Rhinolophus ferrumequinum: one gene and its partners. The protein of the gene in region 1 binds, or shares a complex with, the protein of each later gene. Links are inferred from orthologs where the notes say so. Each region holds a gene or a part of one and is shown in the gene's direction. Other genes may lie near its edges. The genes, in order: CFB, CFD and CFP.

The links.
Region 2: the proteins of CFB (region 1) and CFD are in contact, whole or in part, in a crystal structure (PDB 2XWB), measured with the Homo sapiens proteins. The link is inferred for Rhinolophus ferrumequinum from reciprocal best matches to the Homo sapiens genes CFB and CFD. Residues at the interface, in NP_001701.2 of Homo sapiens: Glu298, Ala301, Ser302, Ala332, Asp333, Ile469, Asp470, Glu471, Ser472, Glu518, Tyr519, Lys585, Asp758, Glu759, Asp760; in NP_001919.2 of Homo sapiens: Asn157, His158, Ala159, Gly160, Arg161, Arg162, Arg182, Thr183, Asp186, Arg200, Val228, Cys229, Gly230, Asn231, Arg232, Lys233.
Region 3: the proteins of CFB (region 1) and CFP are in contact, whole or in part, in a crystal structure (PDB 7NOZ), measured with the Homo sapiens proteins. The link is inferred for Rhinolophus ferrumequinum from reciprocal best matches to the Homo sapiens genes CFB and CFP. Residues at the interface, in NP_001701.2 of Homo sapiens: Glu54, Gln56, Ser78, Thr316, Tyr317, Leu349, Ser351, Met394; in NP_001138724.1 of Homo sapiens: Arg329, Arg330, Asn331, Lys333, Pro341, Met420, Val421.

Annotation. Positions count from the first base shown.
Region 1 is NC_046286.1:2,395,195-2,402,715, forward strand, and holds the start of CFB (complement factor B), read left to right. Parts: upstream 1-4,471; 5' UTR 4,472-4,675; coding exon 4,676-4,739; intron 4,740-4,827; coding exon 4,828-5,043; intron 5,044-5,461; coding exon 5,462-5,647; intron 5,648-5,802; coding exon 5,803-5,976; intron 5,977-6,209; coding exon 6,210-6,311; intron 6,312-6,415; coding exon 6,416-6,552; intron 6,553-6,841; coding exon 6,842-6,980; intron 6,981-7,292; coding exon 7,293-7,424; intron 7,425-7,521. Other genes in the region: complement C2, read left to right, coding at 1,858-1,998, 2,127-2,221, 2,318-2,432, 2,550-2,715, 2,825-2,901, 3,031-3,122, 3,314-3,440, 3,594-3,643 and 1 more.
Region 2 is NC_046301.1:62,053,482-62,060,547, reverse strand, and holds CFD (complement factor D), read left to right. Parts: upstream 1-4,384; 5' UTR 4,385-4,622; coding exon 4,623-4,680; intron 4,681-5,193; coding exon 5,194-5,350; intron 5,351-5,442; coding exon 5,443-5,587; intron 5,588-5,751; coding exon 5,752-6,009; intron 6,010-6,274; coding exon 6,275-6,436; 3' UTR 6,437-6,499; downstream 6,500-7,066. Other genes in the region: ELANE (neutrophil elastase), read left to right, coding at 344-500, 805-946, 1,663-1,893, 2,055-2,255.
Region 3 is NC_046284.1:86,351,965-86,359,096, forward strand, and holds the start of CFP (properdin), read left to right. Parts: upstream 1-4,123; 5' UTR 4,124-4,340; coding exon 4,341-4,413; intron 4,414-4,491; coding exon 4,492-4,642; intron 4,643-5,826; coding exon 5,827-6,002; intron 6,003-6,472; coding exon 6,473-6,643; intron 6,644-6,778; coding exon 6,779-6,970; intron 6,971-7,132. UniProt on the Homo sapiens protein: A positive regulator of the alternate pathway (AP) of complement. It binds to and stabilizes the C3- and C5-convertase enzyme complexes. Inhibits CFI-CFH mediated degradation of Complement C3 beta chain (C3b).

The DNA of each region.
Region 1 (7,521 bases):
CCTCTCCAGGAAGAAAAGGCCTGGACTCCTTGTGGGGACTGTCCCTGGCATTTCCCCTCTTGGCAGTACAGATAACTAACTAAGGCTTCGGCAGTTGCAGACTCCAAAAGAACAATTCCTGGGGTTCAGAGTAAATAAAAATTGCACTGACTTTTGACCAGAAAAGAATTTCAGAGAGAGCGCCGCAGATAAGGAAGGGCAGCTGGCTTTGAACTCCCAAGTCTCACTTTCCCCTTGGGTCCTTTCTTTTCTGTCCTACCCCAAACTGCCCCTCAGTGGAAAGCAGATTCTTCTTTAAAACTCTGGCCCGAGAAAAGCAAAACCCAAACTCCATTCCCTAACTCCTTAGCATCACTGGGCCAGGATTAAATGCTCAAAAACACTTTTTAAAAAAGAAGCAGAAACTGAAGGGAAATAGTTAAAGAAAACACAGGGGCAGGATAATTGTCTAGCACCTACTGCAACTGCTCCATCCTGGCCAGTGCGAGTTGCTTCCTGAGGGAAGACTTCTGAGCATCTCACTCCTTACACACAACACAGGGCCCTCTGGGAGCAAAAAGGCCGCGACTCCTTATGCAAAGTGTGGGAGACGGCAGACTCTGTGGGCCACTGCAGGGCGGTTCTGGCTGGCACGCACACTCACGGAGAGGCTGGGCCTGGTTGGTTGTTGTGAGCCCAGATTTTCCAGTGGGAAGAGGTGGCTCCAGGCTCCTCTGCCAGAGCCTGCATGTTACAGAGGAAGACCAAATCTGAAGTTTTTCCTCCATGTTATGTTCAGAGTTCTTTTTATTCATTCAGTCATTTAAAAGATCTTCTGAGAGTCTCTTCTGGGCTAAGCAGCATTCGAAGGATAGAGCTATAAATGAAACAGACAAAAATGCCTACTTGCATGGGGATGCCATTCTGGAGGGGCCAATGCACTAGTTTGCTCGGGCTGGTACAACCATTTATGCAAACCTGGGTGGCTCAAAACAACAGGAATCCATTCTCTCACATTCAGGAGGCTAAAAGTCCAAAACCAAGGAGTCAGCAGGGCCCTGCTCCCTCTGGAGCCTCTAGGCAAGAATTTTTTCTCACTCTTCCAGCTTCTGGTGACCCTAGGCCGTCCCCGGCTTGTAGCAGGGTCACCCAGGCTCTGACTCTGTCTTTGCATCCCTTTCTTCCCTCAGTGCCTCTCTGGGTTGTCCCACAGCATTCTCTCTATGTCTGTGTCCCAAATCCCCTTAGAAGGACACGGGCCTCAGATCAGGGCCCACCCTAATCCAGTGTGAACTCATCTTAACTTGATCACGTCCTCAAAGACCCTATTTCCAAACAAGGGCACATTCACAGGTTCTGAGGTTTAGGACTTGAACATATCCTCCGGGGGAAACAGTTCTACCCACTGTTGGCATTAAATAAGATAAATAAGGAGCCCGCATGTCACGGTAGCTAGTGACATGTGCTAAGGTATAAAATGAAGCAGGCAGGAATGGAAGTGTCTGGGGCATTGCCATTTTAGACAACAAGGCCAGGGAAGGACTGGCTGAGACAATGACATTTGAGTCAAGACTTAAAAAGGTAAGAAAGTGAGCCATGTGGGAAGTCTGCGGGGTGAGGGAGCCAGGCAGAGGCGTGGCTTGTGCCAAAGGCCTGAGGTAAGAGCACCTGCAAATTCGAGGAACTTCAAGAAGGTTATGTGGCTGGAAGAGGGAAGGGCAAGGAGTGGTAGAAAATGAAGCCAGAGAGGTGTGTGGGTGGAGGTTCCAGCTCATTAGGGCTTTGTAGGACCCAGTGAGTTCCAAATCACAGCCTCCTGTCTCACGGGGTAGCCCCCAGCCACACCCACAGTTCTGGTGATTTCCTCCTCCCCATCAGACATCTATGCCATCGGGGTGGGCAAGCTGGATGTGGACTGGAGAGAACTGAATGAACTGGGCTCCAAGAAGGACGGCGAGAGGCATGCCTTCATCCTGCAGGACACACAGGCTCTGTACCAGGTCTTTGAGCACATGCTGGGTGAGTGAGCTTCGTCCGCCCTCTCCAGACTGGGGAGGCAGTCCGGAGCCAGCCAGGGGCACAGCTGGAGAACCTGTTCCCAGCGCCCCTCACCTGCATCCTTCCCCGTCTGCTCCTCACACCTGCAGATGTCTCCCAGCTCATAGACACCATATGTGGGGTGGGAAACATGTCAGCTAATGCCTCTGCCCAGGAGAGAACACCCTGGCATGTCACTATCAAGGTAACAGGAAGGAGGGACGGGGCTTGGATCCCAGAGGTGAAAGTGGCCATGGGCCAGAGACACAGCAGGCCCTGAAGATCGTCTGTTCTCCTGTAGCCTAAGAGCCAGGAGACCTGCCGCGGCTCCCTCATCTCAGACCAGTGGGTCCTGACTGCCGCTCACTGCTTCCGCCATGCCGACGAGGACCGTTCCCTGTGGAGGGTCAACGTGGGTGAGACAGGGCCCCTACCAGGTTCCTGACCGCACGGCCAGAGCTCCCACACCTTGTCCCTAGTCTCTGGGCCCTTTAGGAGCCCTGGTCCAGCCTAATCTGCCGTATTGTTTCTAGGGGATCCCAACTCCCAGTGGGGCAAAGACTTCCAAATTGAGAAGGTGGTAATCTCCTCGGAGTTCAATGTCTTTGCCAAGAAGCCTCAGGGAATCCTGGAGTTCTATGCTGATGACATTGCGCTGCTAAAGCTGGCCCAGAAAGTGAAGATGTCCACCCATGCCAGGTCCCAGCCTGTGGGTGGGAGGGTGTCCTCTGGGGTAGAATGCTCCGGGGAGCCCCCGAGAAGTGGGGAACCAAGGATGGGCCTGTGTGACCCTCGCCCTTCTCCCCAGGCCCATCTGCCTTCCCTGTACGGTGGGGGCCAATCTGGCCCTGCGGAGACCCCCAGGCAGCACCTGCCGAGAGCACGGTGAGCGCTGGGGCTTCAGATGTGTGAGGAGCTGGGACCTGGGCTTGGGGGTGACTACACGAGCTGTGCTGCCGTCCCCAAGTCAGGGTAAAGGGACCAGCACCAACCTCCCCTTCTCCTTGACTGCAGAGAACGAACTTCTGAACAAACTGAGCGTTCCTGCTCATTTTGCGGCCTTGAACGGGGACACACTGAACATTAACCTCAAGACAGGGATGGAGGTGAGGGTCCCAGGCCTGGGAGGCTGTGGGCGATGGGATTCCCCCGGGGCGTCTACTAGAATGTCTGTTGGCCTCCTCCAGCTCCGGCTGCTTTCTCCGTCTGAGCCCGAGTCACTCCTGCTCCAAGGCCTAGCTGGAATGCCCGGGGCCTGCTCATTCCATTCTTCTCTCCTGTTCCTCCCTTACTGCAGTGGGCAAGCTGTATCGAGGTCGTCTCCCAAGACAAGAAAATGTTCCCCAATTTAACAGATGTCAGAGAGGTGGTAACAGACCAGTTCCTATGCAGTGGGACCGGGGAAGATGACAATCCCTGCAAAGGTGAGCGCCTCCCACCCAGCCTCAACTCTGGCGCCTGGATTCCTGAGGGGAAGGCCACCTGTGGCCAGCACGCAGGCCAGGACACTGCACTGCCTCCATGACAGGGGAGCAGAGGAGAGTTGGGTGACAGTCTCTTGTCCCTTCTTTCTGCAGGAGAATCCGGAGGAGCAGTTTTCCTTGAGCGGAGATTCAGGTTTTTTCAGGTGAGGAGAGAAGGGAGAAGCTCACAGGACTGGGGTGGTAGGATCTTGGCCTTGTGGGGGATGAGGGAGGCCTTTGGAGGACACAGGGAGGTTGGGGCTTGGAGCTGGGGCTGTGGCAGCCTCCTGTCCCATTCTTGCCTTCTTCTAGGTGGGCCTGGTGAGCTGGGGTCTCTACAACCCCTGTAGCAGCACCAATAAAAACTCCCGCAAGAAAGCCCCCAGGGGCAACGTCCCACCGCCGCGAGACTTCCACATCAGTCTCTTCCGCCTGCAGCCCTGGTTGAGGCAGCACCTGGAGGGTGTCCTGGACTTTTTGCCCCTCTAATCATGCCCACTGAGCCCTCTGCTGTCCTGTGGGGCCTGCCATCTGTCCCATGTCCTACCTCTGAATGTCTGTCCCCAGACCCATCCTCACCCAGTGCCCACCCTCAGCTTAACGTGACTCACTCTCCTTTCACTTTCACATGGAATTCCCCACTTATGAAATTAATAAAAATCAGTGATTTCCACATCTGTCTGTGCCTCTGCCTGGGGGGTGGGGAAGCAGGAATGATTCCAGGAACTGCAGGAGGCAGGTCAGAGACCCTGCTGGACAAACAGTGGCTGGACTCTGCTCCGTAACACTCAACGGGGGTGGGGGGAGCTGGGGCCTTATTTCTGGTCTGTAAGGGGGCAGTCTGGTCTTGTTGGGGAGGAGCTGTGGCAGAGAGGAGGTGTTGAAAGGGAGAGTCCTGGACCTTGCATGGCAAAGGGTGGGGCTTGTGCAGTTTCTAGTTCCTCGACTGGTAGCTCAGTGGGGCCCTCCCTCTTGGACATTCCGGAAAGTGATGTGGGTAGGGCGGGCAGGCTGAAGCACAGGTGCCAGCACACAGAGTGCATAAATCGCTGGCAGTTGTGAGGGGCAGGGGGAAAGGACTGTGACCAGGCCTAGGTCTAGAGTTTCAGCTTGGACACTGAGCCAAGCAGCACGTAGTGCAAGCTGGGGAAGGCCACCCTGTCTCCAGCCCAGCCTCTCTCCTGCCTTCCATCATCATGGGGAGCAACCTCAGCCCCCGACTCTGCCTGGTGTCCTTGGTCCTGGGTCTCTTGACTAGAGGTAAGCCAGGGTCACCGCTTCCCCTCCTGCTGCCCCAGCACCCCTCCCTGGCCTTGTCAGGCCAGGCTTCATCAGCCTGTTCCTTTAGGTGTGAGCATGACGTCCGAAAGCCCCTGCTCTCTGGAGGGAGTAGAAATCAAAGGTGGCTCCTTCCGGCTTCTCAAGGAGGGTCAGGCACTGGAGTACGTCTGTCCCTCTGGCTTCTACCCATACCCTGTGCAGGCTCGCACCTGCCGATCCACGGGCTCCTGGAGCACCCTGCAGACCCAAGACCAAAAGATTGTCAAGAAGGCAGAATGCAGAGGTTGGAGGGTAGTGAGGGTGGGCGTGGGCCAGCAGAGGGCAGGAGCAGGTGGTGGTCAAGGTCCAGCCTAGGATGAGATTAGAGTGTGTTGAGACCAGGCAGGCTGTCGGGGGCTGGAGGGAGGTGGGAAGGAGGGAGGAGGAAGGAGGAAGGAGGAAGGAGGAAGGCAGCTAACTTTACTAAGCATTTACCCAGCACTGGGCAGCCCTGGCAGTTAAAAGAACACTCGGGAGTGGGGAGGGAGGAGCAGCGGGACTCCCCACAGGTTGAGGGATCCTCCAGGGGCTGCAGGTAGACTCTGCCCCTGTGGGACCGAGAAGGTGCCATTTTTGAGTGACAGGGACCCCGAGACCAGGAGGGATACCCTAAAGGGCAGCCCTCCCCTCTCAGTAACTTCTGCTTGTTCCTCTCCTCAAAGCAATTCGTTGCCCAAGACCACAGGACTTTGAGAACGGGGACTATTGGCCCCGATCCCCCTACTACAATCTGAGTGACCAGCTTTCTTTCCACTGCTATGATGGTTACACTCTCCGGGGCTCTGCCAATCGCACCTGCCAAGCGAACGGTCGGTGGGATGGGCAAACAGCCATCTGTGACAATGGAGGTGAGAAGCCTTGCCACCGCCACCCCTCCCCTCCCAAGGTAGCCGCTCCCTGACGGAGCTGCAGCCTGAGGAACGGGCACTGTCACAGCTGTGCTCCGCCCGGCCCTCTGGGCCTCCAGCTTTGGCCCTCACCTCTGTGTCTCATGCCTCTGCAGCGGCGTACTGCCCCAACCCAGGCATCCCCATCGGCACAAGGAAGGTGGGCAGCCAGTACCGCCTTGAAGACAGTGTCACCTACTACTGCAGCCGGGGGCTCACCCTGCGTGGCTCCCATCAGCGAACATGCCTGGAAGGTGGCTCTTGGAGTGGGACAGAGCCTTCTTGCCAAGGTGACCCTTGACCCATGCCCTCAGGTCAGATACTGCTTTCCCAACCTCAAGTTCCCACAGTGGCACACTGTCTGCTCCCTCTCTCCCAGCCCAGCTCTTTCCATTTCTAAACCTCCCTGTAGAACATCCTCACTTCTGAGCCCTTCCCACCCTGGAAACCCACCATCCCCTCTCTCTGGTCACTGTGTCCCTGACCCTCCCAGACATTTGACCTGATTTCTGACCTCTCCCAGACTCCTTTATGTACGATACCCCTGGAGAGGTGGCTGAAGCCTTCCTGTCTTCTCTGACGGAGACTATAGAAGGAGTCGATGCTGATGACGGCCACAGCCCAGGTCTGAAGGCAGAGTGGGAGGCGGGGCAAGGAACCAAGGGGAGGATGGAGAAGGGGCAGGAGAAGCCCGCGTGCTGGAGCTTGAACGTCTCTGGTGGCACCTAGGGGAACAACAGAAGAGGAAGATTGTCCTGGACCCCTCAGGCTCCATGAACATCTACCTGGTGCTGGATGGATCAGACAGCATTGGGGCACACAACTTCACAGGGGCCAAGAATTGTCTCACACACTTCATTGAGAAGGTGGAGCCCCCCCTCCCTGAATGTGGGGACCCTGAATGTGCCTCACTGCCCTGCCAGGACTAGCTTCCAGTGTTCCTAGCCCCTCTGAGCCACAGGGTTCCAGAAAATCCCTAGGTTCTATTCTGTCCTTCCCCTTTCCTTGAAGCTATTTCTTGACTTTTCCAGCCCCTGTGAACCTCAGATAACCAGTCAGCGCTTGAGTCTCTTACTGACCTTCCCTATCTCAGCAAAGATGCTGAATTCTCTCAAGTATTCTACTTGCAGTGTCATGACCCTTTGCTTCCCTCAGGTGGCAAGTTATGGGGTGAAGCCAAAATATGGTCTAGTGACGTATGCCACAGATGCCAAAACTTTGATCAGAGTGTCTGAAGCACAGAGCAGCGACGCAGCCTGGGTCACAGAAAAGCTCAATAAAATCAGCTATGAAGGTCAGAAGTCGTAAGGGAATGGTGGGAAGTTCATTTTGAGGTCACAGGGTTCAGGGGTGTTGTGAGTCCACGTGGGGATGCAGGGAGGACCATTGTGTAGTCCATGGCTGGTCAGCAGTCACTGGGGGAACGGGCATTAGTGGGAACCTGTTAGGGGCTGAGGGTCGCTTTGTGGTCAAAGGGAAGTCGGTGGGGTGACAACTGAAAAAGTTGAAAGTTGAAAGAGGTGGGATCTCAGTTGCTGGTAGGCCTCTGGGGTTCAAGGGAGGCTTGGAGGACTAGATGAGGTGATGATGTCTTCTGTTTCCATAGACCATAAGTTGAAGACGGGTACTAACACCAAGAAGGCCCTCCAGGCAGTGTACAGCATGATGAGCTGGGAAGGGGACACCCGTCCTGAGGGCTGGAACCGCACCCGCCACGTCATCATTCTCATGACTGATGGTCAGAAGGGCCCTTTCTCCTGCCCGGCTCCCCACCCTCTCACACCAGTGTGTGGCCTTTAAGTCCACATGTAACACTGAACTCATGGTTGGGGCTT
Region 2 (7,066 bases), on another chromosome or scaffold:
AAACCTGCGTGGCCTCTTCACCCTCATGGGGAGGTGATGGCTGGGATGGGGAGACCTGTTTCCAGAGAAAGAGACCGAGGTCCAGAGTGGTGAAGAGCCCAGAGTTTGAACTGGGGCATCACTGGGCATGCTCTGGGGACTGCAAAGCCAAATTAAATCCAGATCTAGCTGTGCCCTGGCAGGGGGCAGTAGGAGGCCCCCTATCTCTCTGTGCCTCAGTTTCCTCATCTGGCACATGAAGAGCCCTGATCTGTGGGTTCCTGGTGAGAGTTCAAGGGCTGACTGGCTCAGCAGGTGGGGCTCCTGCGTGGCACTCACTACCCCCGCCTCCACGTATCCCCAGGTCCCGCGCTAGCCTCTGAGATCGTGGGTGGTCGGCAGGCCCAGCCCCACGCATGGCCCTTCATGGTGTCTCTGCAGCGGCAAGGAGGCCACTTCTGCGGTGGCACCCTGGTGGCCCCGAACTTTGTCATGTCGGCCGCGCACTGTGTGAACGGCATGTGAGTGATCGCCTTCCCTGCCCTCGCCACCCCGTGTGTCTTCCCTTCTCAGACCCTCTGTTTCCACATCTGTCAAAGGGGGAGAGTGAGACCAGGGCCCAGGCTCCTCCAGGGGTCCCCCATGAACGCATCTCCCCTACCAGGCCCAAGTGGGGGCGTTCAGCCAATGAGCCCAAGCATCTGCCCAGGGTGGCGATGCTACCCCTGGGTGTAGAGCCGGGCTTGGCTGAGCTCTGGAGTCTCTCAGCTACCCCCAACGCCTGGGGCCACCTCGAATCACCTCCTGCACCCATTTTGCCTATAGAAACTTCCAGAGGGTGCGGGCGGTGCTGGGGGCACACAACCTGGGGCAGCGTGAGCCCACCCAACAGTCGTTTGCCATCCAGCAAGTCTTTGAAAATGGCTTCGACCCCGAGAGGCTGCTGAACGACATCGTGATTCTGAAGGTGCAAGGCCAGTGGGGTGGGAAGTGATGCCCAGGCAGGGGACCGGCAGGTGCAAAGGCCCAGGGCCAAAGGCTTGGAAAGGGCAGAGACAGAGCGGAAACACTGGAGGTCACATGCGGCTCTAACTTGATAGTTCGTCTCTGTGCCTCAGTTTCCACTCATGTAACCTGGGGAAACAAGCCCCTCCTGGCAAAGCTGTTGAGAGAGTGAACGAGAAGACACAGAGAGATCTAGACACAGAGAGATCTAGTTGTCAATCAACAAAATGTTATGATTATTTGTGTTTGATGGCCCTGTGCCCAGGGACTGTTCCTGCCTTTGTGAAATGGCAAAATTCCCCACATCTGGGCTGAAGGGAAACTGGAGGGAGAAACCCTCCCTTCCCCACTGCTGGCAGAGTTATGATTATTCTCTGGAATGTTTTAGAATACGGTTTCGTTGTCATTGGTGTTGCCCATAGCTTGTTATATTGAGTATGTATGTTTACTCCTCTCAATACACATCCAGGGACGCCCTGAGCCACTGTTGTTGTTCCTATTTCAGAGATGGGAAAACTGAGACTGAGGGTGGGGAGCATCTCACTGGGTGGGCAGCCTACTCCGTAAAATCCCAGAACCATGGTGGGACCTTATGTGGGGAAATTGAGGCCCAGAAAGGGGAGGGCCGGTGCCCACCTCCCTGTGTGACTCTCCTGTCCTCTGCCCTGCCCACTACAGCTCAATGGGTCAGCCACCATCAATGCCAATGTGCAGGTGGCCCAGCTGCCCGATCAGGACCAAGGCGTGGGCAATGGGGTGCAGTGCCTAGCCATGGGCTGGGGCCGGTTGGGCACCAACCGGCCACCACCCAGAGTCCTGCAGGAGCTCAACGTGACCGTGGTAACATCCCTCTGCCGCCCCACAAATGTGTGCACAATGGTGCCTCGCCGGCGGGCAGGCATCTGCTTCGTAAGTACCCGCATCCCCTCACCACTCCACCCTCACTCCTGCCCAGACTGCAGCAAGTGGAACTGCAGCCAGACCCTGGGAAAGACTTCCCAACTCTGAAGGGCAGTGGGTGGGGAGCCCCGGAAGCCCAGCCTCCCCACCTAGTCTGGCTCCACACACAGGGGGACTCCGGTGGGCCTCTTGTCTGCAACGGGCTGATCCATGGGATTGACTCCTTCATCCGGGGAAGCTGTGGCTCCGGCTTGTACCCAGACGCCTTTGCCCCCGTCGCGCAGTTTGCCGACTGGATCAACTCCATCATTCGCAGCCCCGGTGACCAGCCCCATCTCCACCCCAGGGACCCTGCAAGCAGGATCCGCTAGAAGGGGCTGGCCCTGTCACCCCACCTCACCTGCCCCTGGCTGGGGCCTTCCCACGCTCCGTTATGCAGCATCTGGCACAATAAAAACCCTCTGTTTTGTAGACTGTGTCTTGGTGTTGGTTGTGTAATTGGGCGTTGAAAGCAGTCATGAGAGCATCTTGGGAATCTCACGAGTATGAGCATTGGAGTAAGTTCCTTCTCCACCCTCCACAAAGAATGCCAGTTGCCATTTCTGGTTTCCCTCATGTAAAACCGGGTTTTGTGTGATTAAATTAGCATTGCACGTGGTGATGACACAAAGCACTGTAGCAGGTGTTCGTTGAGTGCTTACCAGGTGCAGGAATCATTCTCAGTCTTTGCAAGTGTTCGCTCATCCAGCCCTCTGAGGCTCCAGCCCTTGTGGCCGGTCCCGTCAGTGCCCTGTTTTACAGAGCAAGAGAGGTGAAGCCCTGTTCGGGAGCCTGGCTTTGAGTCCAAGCTCTAACTTTGGGCAACTTGCTCACTGTCTCTGAGCCTCCGTTTCCCTGCGGGGAGGAGTGAGGTGCTGTATGGTAAGGGGGGTTGGGGTCTCATTGGGTGACACAGACGAGCCCTCCTTCACCTCCCCAGCATTTTACTCTGCCAAAGGGGGAAGGGCAGAGCAGATGATTTCCAAGGCATCCCCCAGACCAGATGGAAGTTGCAGCCCTGAAAGAGGGGACCAGCCTGTACCCCTCTTCTACCTTCCTGGGGCCACAGGCAGGGACCACAACAGATATGGCCTCTGCCATCACGCAGCTCACAGTCTGACAGTGGGGGAAGAAACAATCACTTAAGCAAGCAAATAGAGAAATACCATCAGGTAATGCTGTCCCCCACACACGCCATGAGTTTGGGATGAATCTCCTCTCCCCTCTCTGTCCCCTGGCCCCCAATACCTTCCCGCTGGAGCTCAGAAGCCTAGGTCCCCCTCAGGGCCTTTGCTTTGGCTGTCCCCTCTGCCTGACTGCTCTTCCCGCAGGGTGTCCCCTTATCCCACCTCTCCAAGGAACAGCTGCTCAGAAATGTGACCATCTGCCATGCAATTGCTTTTTCCACTCAATACTATACGCAGGCAGTCTTTCCACATCCACATGACATCTGGGGACCATCAGGGTTATTTATTGAACCGCCCCATCTTCCAGGGTGGTTTCCAAATTTTGTTGCAATTTTAAACACTCTTACTCACATAATTTGGACCTCATATCCTCATGGGCATTTGTTCAGAACTGATTTTAATAAGGAAATATGTTAGGATCTAACAGATCACATGTTATTTTCTAATTTTTTCTGTATGTATGAAATAATCCGCTGTGAGGAAGGAAAAAAAAAGGGGAAAGTATTGTGTACTGTTCCCACTGGGGTCATATGAGGTCCATCCCCCCCTTCTGGTCCCATCACCCCCCCCCAATAGGTACATGAGATGTTGATCCCCCATCCCCACCTTACAGAGAGGGTCATGTGACCCGAGTTCTGCTCATCAGAACCTGCCATCCCCTGCCTGCAGTGACTGGTTTGGGAGGGGGCATGTGATCCAAACTCAGCCAATCAGAGACAGCCTGGAGACACTGGCTGGAGTGATGGGGAATTGCGGAGGGGGGGCACTGAGCCACTGGGCTGAGTCTGGGGCCTCTGAGGCCACAACGCTGGAGCCTGGTTAGGAGAAAAGCCATCAAGGAGGAAGGAGAAACCAGAGACAGCGGCCTGACATTGTTCAAGGCACCTGGATCAAGCCACACCTAAAGGCAGACACTGAACTTTCCATTTAAATTTCCTTGTTGAAGGCACAGTCTTTCCACTTGCCCCTACACACCACCTTTCTAATGTCCTGCTTGTTGGGGTATCAGGCTCCAGAGCTGCAGCAATGGGACAAGGGTGTGGGGTGACCTTCCTCCTACCCCCTCCAAGCTGGAAAAGGAAGAGAGAAAAGGGAGGAGCAAAAAAATGAGGAAGTGGGTTGTTTATAAACCGTGGCCTCCAGCTGCTGTTTCGAAACCTGGGGCTGGAGGGGTGCTCTGGGGGCGTGGGTGTGGGTTGTCCCTTCGCCCTGCTTCTGCCCACCCTAAGGGGCTGCTCACCACACCAGAGCCAACCCTGGGCTGCTCACCACACCAGAGCCAACCCTGGGCCAGGTGCACGGAGGCAGGAGGCACCCCTTGTGGTGCAAAGTACAGCAGGAGAGAACCCCACCCAGAGGAGAGTGAAGCGGGCCGGCGGGGGCGGGCTTTTCTTTCCTAGCTGGGTGACTGCCCACCCAGCAGACAGGGCCTGTGGCAGCCACCACCCCCTCCACCCTCATAAGAGTGTCCCAGGACCCCGCCTGAATCAGTGTGGCGGTAACAGCAGCATCATGGCAAACCTCTCAGTGCACCTGGCGGCTCTGATCCTCCTAGGAGCAGCTCTATGCGGTGAGTGAACCTGTAACTGGAGTGGACCAGCTAGGGGCCACCCGCCTACAGAGCAGTCAGCCAGGGACCCCCTCTGTCACACAGGACTGTCTCCCAGCCCCTCTCGGTGGGCAGAAGGGGTCAGTGTCCTTGTGAATGGAAGACTCTGAAAGTCCAGGAATTCTCAAAACTTGGATCTGAAATGCGCAGTTCTACAGTGGAAACTGGCGGCCGGCGGGCCGAACAGGCCAGCAGGAGTGTTGGTCCTGTCAGCTCCACTTTTCTTGGGACTTTTCTTAGGTTTAAATAGAACCCGTGCTGCTCATTGTGTGTGACGGAATGTGCCCCAGACCCTGGCATTCCCTATCCTTCCCAGGCCCCCAGGCATCTGAGCTTGCGACGCTGGGGTGTGGGGATCCAGGGATGGAATTCCAGGTCTGAGGCGGGTAGAGCGGCCTGGGGTGTGGAAACGGCGTCTGTGGGCTGGGCTGCAGGCATCCCCTACGTCCTCACGCGCTTGTTGCCCATCCCCAGCGGCGCAGCCCCGCGGCCGAATCCTGGGCGGCAGAGAGGCCAACTCCCACCAACGGCCTTACATGGCCTCGGTGCAGGTGAATGGCAAACACGTGTGCGGCGGCTTCCTGGTGGCCGAGCAGTGGGTATTGAGCGCAGCGCATTGCCTGGAGGACGTGTGAGTGGCCTGGACGAGGGTGCGGGGCTATAGAGTGGGGGAGGGGTTGGAGTGCGGACCTTGCTCTGACGTGGACTCTACCCCACTCCCAGGGCCGACGGGAAGGTGCAGGTGCTCCTGGGCGCGCACTCGCTGTCGCAGAGGGAACCCTTTAAGCGCCTGTACGACGTACTCCGCGCAGTGCCCCACCCGGACAGCCGGCACGACACCATCGACCATGACCTGCTCCTGCTGCAGGTCGGCCAAGTCTAGCGGCAGTTCCTCCTGCTGCATCCAACACCCCCAGACCCCAGACCTGGCGCCCGCCTCCCCCCACCAGGTCCCACCGAGTCCAGCGGTAGTCCCTCCTGCTACATGCCCCCCGGACCCCAGCCCTGACGCCCATCTCCTCCCACCTGCAGCTTTCTGAGAAGGCAGAGCTGGGCCCAGCTGTGCAGCCCCTGCCCTGGCAGCGAGAGGACCGCGACGTGGCCGCTCGCACGCTCTGCGACGTGGCCGGCTGGGGCGTGGTTAGCCACACGGGCCGCCAGCCCGACCGCCTGCAGTACCTGACCCTGCGGGTGATGGACCGAGACACCTGCAACCTGCGCAGGTATCACGACGGCACCATCACGGAGCGCATGATGTGCGCAGAGAGCAACCGCCGGGACACCTGCAAGGTGCGGAGTGGGGCGGAGCCAGCAGAAGGGCGGGGCTGCATGGAGGGCGGGGCCAATCGAAGGGGCCGAGCTGAGAGCTGGGAAGGCGGGGCCTTGGTGGGTGGGGCCTGCAGTGGTGGGCAGGGCCTGGGCAGATTGATGCGAGAGAGGGCAGGTTGAGGCCAGGGGGAGGAACAGGAACTGCAGTGGCGGAGCTCCAGGTGAACACAGGAGAACAGGAGGGCCTGCGGAGGTGCACCAGCCCTCACGGCCCTGTCCCATGCAGGGCGACTCCGGAGGCCCGCTGGTATGCGGGGGCGTCGCCGAGGGCGTAGTCACCTCCGGATCCCGCGTGTGCGGCAACCCCAAGAAGCCGGGCATATACACGCGCGTGGCGAGCTACGCGGCCTGGATCGATGGTGTGATGGCTGGGGCTGAGGCCGCCTGAGGAGGACCTGAGGGCCTGGAGTCACCAGGAAGCAATAAAGTCACCCACTTCTGCATCCCGTCAGACTTTATTTTTTGTTTCTATTTTGTTTGTTCATTTATTAGGTTGGTGCAAACGTAATTGCAGTTTAAAAGGTTAAAAATAATTGCAAAAACCGCAATTACGTTTACACCAACCTAATATTTTGTTCTTTAGATTCCACATACGTATAAGTGAGGTCATATGGTATTTATCTTTATCTGACTTACTTCACTCAGCATAATACCATCTAGGTCCATCCATGTTGCCACAAATGGCAAGATTTTGTTCTTTTCTTATGATTGAATAATATTTCACTATATATGTGTGTGTGTGTATATATATATATATATATAGAGAGAGAGAGAGAGAGACAGAGAGAGAGGAGAGAGCTCCAACAAAACAAATGCATACAATTTTAAGAAAGGAAAAAACTATTAAAATTACACGGATGGTAACCACTTCGAGCACCTCTTGTAATTGCAGAAGTCAAACATGACTTGTATTCATCTTTTGTTATCGGTATATATTGTGTATTACAATTTTAATACAGTTTTTTCCTTTCTTAAAATGTGTATACTTTTTTTGGCTTTCTCTCTCTCTCTCTCTCTC
Region 3 (7,132 bases), on another chromosome or scaffold:
TGGCATGACTGTGTGTGAAAGGTGGTGAGGGCGTGAGATTGACTGTGAGAAAGAAAGCATGATGGTGTGTGTCAGACACAGGAGTAGAGACTGCAGATTGGTAACCAGGTATGAAAAAGAAACTGTGGAGAGCTGTGTGTGTGTGTGTGTGTGTGTGTGTGTGTGTGAGATCATGTGAGAGAGGGGAAGTTGTAACCACAAACTTGACATTGTGTCTGTGAGAAATTGTGGTTGTGTGTCAGGAAATCACTGTAGAAATGAATGATTAAGGTACTGTACAGTAAACTAGTGCTGTGTGTGAAACAATGTTTACGAGAAGGTCGTGGGGACTGCAAACCAGTCACTGCTTGACAGGCTACTGGTGAGCGAGACAGACTGAGTGATCAAAACAACAAGGTGTGAGAGCCTGTGGGCATGAAAGTGTGGTAGATAGAGCTTGTCGGGCACTGTGTGTAGGTGAGAAACTTCCCTGTACGTAAGCAGGTGACTCAGTGTTGGGAGATGAATTGTGTATGACACTGTTCATGCAAGTCATATCAACTAAAGTCATGGGAGCACATGTGTGAGAAGTGAATTGTATGAGGAAAAAAAATGACTGTGAAGCCAAATTTGTGCCTGAGACACAAAATACGAGAACACGTGATTGTGTGTATGAAAACTGTTCATGTGAGACTAGCAAAGACTGTGTGAGAAAGTGAGAAAAACATGGTGGTGCCTGGGACAGTATGAGAGGCTGTAATTATGTGTGTGTATACCTGAGAGTAGCGGCAAACTGATTTACAGTTACTCCTCCAGTCTAGCCCCACAGGTTCAGGGACTGTGAAAGTGTGAGAGAAAATGATGGTGAGACTGAGTGACTGAAACGGTCCACGAGACCGCATAACTGGGAGTAAGAGATGATAAGTAACAATACAAAGTCAGCGTTGCGTAAGAAAGTTGATGACTGAGCAGTACATGAGAGTGTGTGGGTCTGCAAAACATTTCATAAGACTAACTCAGAGGCTATATGTTTGTGAAAAACTGAGAATATGAGACTGGGAGACCACGTGATCGTTGTGTGTGAAAAACTGGTGAGGCTGTAATTGTGTTTGTACATGATCAGCTGACTGTATGAGGAAAATGATGGTGTAAGATGGGCCGTGAGAGACTGTGTGTATAAAATGTATTGAGAGCCTAGTAGCAATTGTGAACTAGTGACCACAGATGTCAGAAACTGACTGAGGGAAAGTGATCATGCCACTGAATGGGTGACTGAGAGAGTGTCTGAGCAACTGATTGTAGGGGTCTGTGTAGAACTCTTTGCAAGAGACTTCAATAAAGGCCATAAATCAAGGACTGGTATGTTGGAAGCTACTTGAGAAGAAATGTGAGACTAGGCGACTCAGACAGTGTCTGAGATACTGTGTGATTGTGTATGCATGTGAAACTCTTAGCTATATCTAATCAGACTGCGGGTATGTTAGTAATAAACGGGGACTTGAGTGTGAAGAGGTAGGAGACATGGTGATTTTGTGTGTGTACAAGGAATTTCGTGAGAAGCTAGTGGTGGCTGTAAATCAGTGACTATTTGTGTATGTAACAAAATGATGGCCTGAGTGATCGAAACATAAAAAGGTGTGAATGTTTGTGTGCATGTGAAAAACTGATTGGTAAGAGTAAATATTGGTAATACTGGCCAAGTGAGACAGGCTATAAGACATGATCATGTGTGTGAATTCTTAGGAGGAGAGGGTCATAAGACTGGGATTCAGTGACAGAGAAAATGACTCCTTGAGTGAGTGACTGAGAGAATGTCTGAGAGGCCATGTGGTCAAGTATGTATATGAGCCTGTTCGTAAGAGACTACAGTAGCGGCTGTAAATCCAGAACTGTGTAACTATATTTTAAAAAGAGAGAAAATGATCGAGACCAAATGAGACTGCATGAGAGACCACAAATCAAACGTGCCAGGCCTACGAGAAAGCCCTTTTCTGTTTGTCCTCTTTCTCTGCACATCACTCCTCGTCAGGCCCTATGCTCCACTCCTCTTAGTTCTCCAAAACTGGTAATGCTGGACTTCCCCCGGGCTTTGCCTGAGTTCCCTTCCCTCTTCTCATAAGCTCTGGTCCAGTCCTGGTACTTGAGACACTATTTATCTCCACCCCTATCATGCCCACTTTTTTACCTCCAACCCAGACAGACTCTTCCTCTTGGCACTTCACAGAATCTCTAAAGTTTTTTTATTTCATTTATTTCATTCAGCAGATGTTTATTGAGCCCTGCAGATAAAGCGGTTAACAAACCAGACAAAAATCCCTGCCCTTGTGGAACTGGTATTTGAGTGAGGGCGAGAAACAGATAAATATATCAAACAAGATGGCAGTGCAATAAGTACGTGAGACAAGACTCTCACTCTTTGTTTAAATAAGAAATCTGCACAGTCATTTTATTGCCCAAACATGTGGGAGAAGATGAAAGTGCGGACAATCCTTTTCCACAGGGAATCCTATGAGTATTTGTACAGTTTAGAAACAAAGAAGATATCAGTTATAACATTATTACCAGGGCAACGGGTGATTAGATAAAGCAGCCAACCAGAAGTACAGGTTTCTTGAGTATGTTTTCACAGGATAACACAGCGCTGTTGTCTAATGGCTTAGAATAACAAGACCTCTTTGTTCAAAGGAACACTTTCTGAGACAGGCTTTTGTTATCAGGAAACAATATATCTGAATGTCAACACACCTTATCGTCCATAAAACAAGATTAATATTCTTGAGAAAGTTCTGTTTTAATGTTAAACCTGACCCAATCAATTTCTTTTACTTTGTTTTAATTTGCAGAATGGTATTTTTCCTTCCGTGAATGCAAGGGAAATGACATTGCATTTGTTAGACTCCTTGTTGTTATTCTTAAAGTCTTGTTGTTAAAGCAGCTCTGAAATTTCACTCATTAGGGCTTATAAAAAGATAGTAGGTCCACGGAGCTCAGTTTTACCTGCATGGAAAATGGGTTTTATTAACAGTAAAATAGGTTTTCTCCATGAGACCTACAAAAGAAGAGAGGGGTCAGGGACTAGAATGATGGTTCTTAAAGTGTGGTCTCCAGACAAGCAGCATCACTGTCACCTGGGAACCTGTTCAAAATACACATTTTTGAGCCCCACCCTAGACCCACAGAATCAGAAATCAGAAGTGGGGGTGCGGCCCAGCAGCTTGGGATTTAACCAACCTTCCAGATGATTCTGATGCACAATAACGTTTGAGAGCCCCTGGGCTAGAGCGTGATGGGGTGCTATACAAAAAGGGTAGTTGGGCAGGCCTCTGTGAGAGAGGGGACATTTATTATCTATCTCCGTTTAGAGCGTAAGCCTTGAAGGCCAGGATTTGGAGCTGTCTTGTTCTCTGCTCCATCCAATGCTGAGAACAGCATCTGGCACCCGTAGGTGCTCAATAAATGTTGAATAAGTGTATTTCACAAAAAGTATGTACTACATGCCAGGCAGTGTGCTAAGGACTTCAAAAAATCTGAACTCAGAATCTTCGCAACAAACCCTATCAAAGATGTCACCTGCCCAAGTTACACTGATAGAACATGACCTGACCGGTGCCTTCCCAACTACCCCCTCCCAGGCACTGAAGATGTCCCCAGCAGGGCCCCTGGGACTGGATATCCCCAATTCACTCACAAATCCTCCACTCATTCACTTCCCCTTCTCACTTCCCTTGTGCTGACATCCCTTCCCCTTGCTGACACAGGGGACCTCCCTTTCAGGAAAGAGGGTGGGTTAAGTCAGGATGGAGGATGAAGCAATTACTTCAACGCCTTCTCCACCCCATGAGGATGGACATACTGAGCGTGCCACACTCATTTCACCCTATTCAACGTCCCCATGAGGTTGACTCTGTCGTGGTAGAGGGTGTGCATTTTACAGGTGAAGAAACAGCCTCAGAGAGGTTCAAGTGACTTGCCTAAGGTCACACACAGCTAGAAAGTTTGTCTTGCTCCAAACTCCTTGGCTCCATTTTCCCTCAGTAAGAATTTGTACAGAGAGCATTGATTGAGTGCTGAAAGGTTGCTAGGTGGGGCTTGGGGTGCCGGGGTTACAGTGATAAACACAGCACGATCAAGAGTGAGACAGGAAGTAGAGAGGGGAGAGTAGAGGAGGTGGCTCATGGGCAGAGGTGACAAGGGAGTGATGGGAGCCGAGGAGACCTGCCCAATGCTCCCCTCCCCCCTGCTACCCTTTGCCCTCCCAGTTCCTCCTGCCCCTGGTTCCTCTTTTTCCACTGACTCCCAGAACAGGTCAGCTCATAAAGCCAGGCCACCTCTCTGGTGAGGCTGCAGGGGCACCGCTCAGTATGCCCGCCCCAGCGCAGGCCTCTTGGTTGCTGTTCCCGCCGCTACTGCTGCTGCTGACCCTGCCATCCACAGGTGAGTAGGCGAGGGTCCAGTTGGCCCCTCAGGCCCACCATACCCTTGACCGTGCCCTCCTCCCCTTCCCTTTTACAGGCTCAGACCCTGTACTCTGCTTTACCCAGTATGAGGAATCCTCGGGCAAGTGCAAGGGCCTCCTGGGGGGAGGTGTCCGTGTGGAAGACTGCTGTCTCAACAGTGCCTACGCCTTCCAGGAGCCAGACAGCAAGCTCTGTCAGGCATGCAGGTTAGGGGGAGCCTGGGGTTAGGGGGAGGCAGGAAGGACTGTCTGTGTGACAGCCCAGAACTGGACTCTTTCCTTCTCTGGAATTTCCAAGGGTGGCTCAACGGGCCTGATCATGACCATAGCTCAGGGTTTCTCAGTCTCAACTCTATTGACATTTAGGGCCAGAAAATTATTATTGAGAGGGCTGACCTGTGCATTGCAGGGTGTTTTTTGGAATCCCCGACCTCCCACTAGATGCCAGTAGTGACTCCCCGCACCAGTTGCAGCAACCAAAGTGTCTCTAGAAATTGCCACATGTCCCCTAGGGTACAAAATCACCCCTGGTTGAAGAGTAGCATAGCTTACGTGTATTGAGCATTTCCTGCATACTGGAAGCATTGTGGGTGGGGTGCAGCTCTAGTATTTCTGAAGGTGGCTCAAGTTCTCTAATTGTGATGACAGCTCATATTGACTGCTTACTGTATACAGATGCATTGTGGAGATGGGAGAGTTTGGGGAATTCTGAGGGCAGCTGCAGGCCTCTAATTGTGATGACACATCGTATCCAGTGAGCACTTTCGGCATACCAGATGTATTGCCGAGGTCGGGGACAGCTGGCGGATTTCTGAGGGTAGCTCTAGTCTCCTAATCGTGATGCCAGCTTACATGTATTGAGCGTTTACTGTATGCCAGACATACTTCCTAACTGCTTACTGTATATCCCAGATACACCATGAGGCTGGAGAGCTTCGGGAGCTTTTTGAAGGCAGCTCTGTGCCCCTTGTCATGTCGTCAGTTCACATCTATTTAGCATTATGCTGTGCAGATCTGGGGTATTTCTTATGGGGTCTCTGAGCTCATTGGGATGATGGCTCCTATTTATTAAGCACTTCCTGTTTGCATGATGGTGGCCTGACAACAATTCTGGGCCCCTAATCCAAGGACAGTGCACACCTGGCACTGTCCTTGGGGGTACTTAAAAGGGTAGCTCCAGGTCCCTGATCGTGAAAGTAAGTGATGAGTACTTACTGTGTACCCACCTCTCCCCATTCAGTCCCCCAACATCCCTAATAGGCAGGTACCCTCATCAATCCATTCTGCACATACTTACCCGACACCCCCGCTGATGCCTGCCCATGCTTTGCAGTCGCACACACCATCCTGGCCAGCTCGTGCCAGGGTGGGACATGTGCTCCTCTCTACAGGTCCCCACAATGGTCGCCGTGGTCCCCGTGGGACCCCTGCTCAGTGACCTGCACTGAGGGCTCCCAGCTTCGGCACCGGCGCTGCATAGGCTGGGGTGGGCAGTGCTCTGAGAAGGTGGACCCTGGGACCCTCGAGTGGCAGCTGCAGGCCTGTGAGATCCAGCCATGCTGTCCTGGTAAGGAGGATCGGCAAGGCAGATGTGCACTGCCTGTCACCGGCTCTGGGAACGAGCAGGGCAGAGGCCCCGAGGGTGGGACTGTGCCTGATATTTGTGAAGCTCTGAGGAGGAGGCAAGCGGGGCTGGAGGAAAGTGGTGGGCAGTGAGGTCGTAGGAGATCTTGATCCTCGTGGGCCACAGTGAGGACATTGGCTTTTATTCTGAGTGATACGGGTTGTGGGCGGAGGATAAATGTGATCGGACTTGGCCTGTGACCTCCTCACTGTCAAGAGGACAGACTGTGGTGAGGGGTGAAGCAGAAGGACCAGTGTGAAGGTTACTGCGACAGTCCAGATGAGCAATGATGGTAGAACAGGTGTGACAGAGGATGTGGGGATAGGATTAGCTAATGTGGGGCATATGAGAAAGCGAGGATCCCTGAATGACACCCCCACCTCTATCCTGTCCCCCTCTCTTCTCTTCCACAGAGATAGGTGGCTGGTCTGACTGGGGGCCCTGGGCACCTTGCTCTGTCACCTGCTCCAAAGGGACCCAGACCCGTCGTCGAACATGTGATAACCCCACCCCGAAGTGTGGGGGCCACTGTCCAGGAGAAGCACAGGAATCAAAGGCCTGTGACACGCAGCAGGTCTGCCCCAGTGAGTGAGGGCAACCACAGGGCACTGATGCAGGTACCCAGGGTGGGTCTGCAGGTTACAGCAGGGAACTGCCAGCGTGGGAGGACTTCAGCAGCGTGACCACACTTGGCTTCTCCCTACCCCACCCCATCACAGCACATGGGGCCTGGGCTGCTTGGAGCCCCTGGGGCGCCTGCTCGGGCTCCTGCCACGGTGGACCCAGCGCACCTGTGGAGAGACGAAGCCGCACGTGTTCTGCACCTGCACCCTCCACAAATCCTCCTGGGAAGCCATGCCCAGGGCCAGCCTATGAGCAGAGAGGCTGCAGTGGCCTGCCACCCTGCCCAGGTACACAGGCATGAGGCCTCTGACACTCTGCTCTTGATTCGGGCACAGATGCTCTGCCATTTCAGGGGATAGAGATCTTAGACCATGTGACCATGGAGCTCTTTGTTTGGGGGTGGTCTGCCTCGGGGGTCTAAGGGCTGAGGGGGGAGACTGAGATGGCCT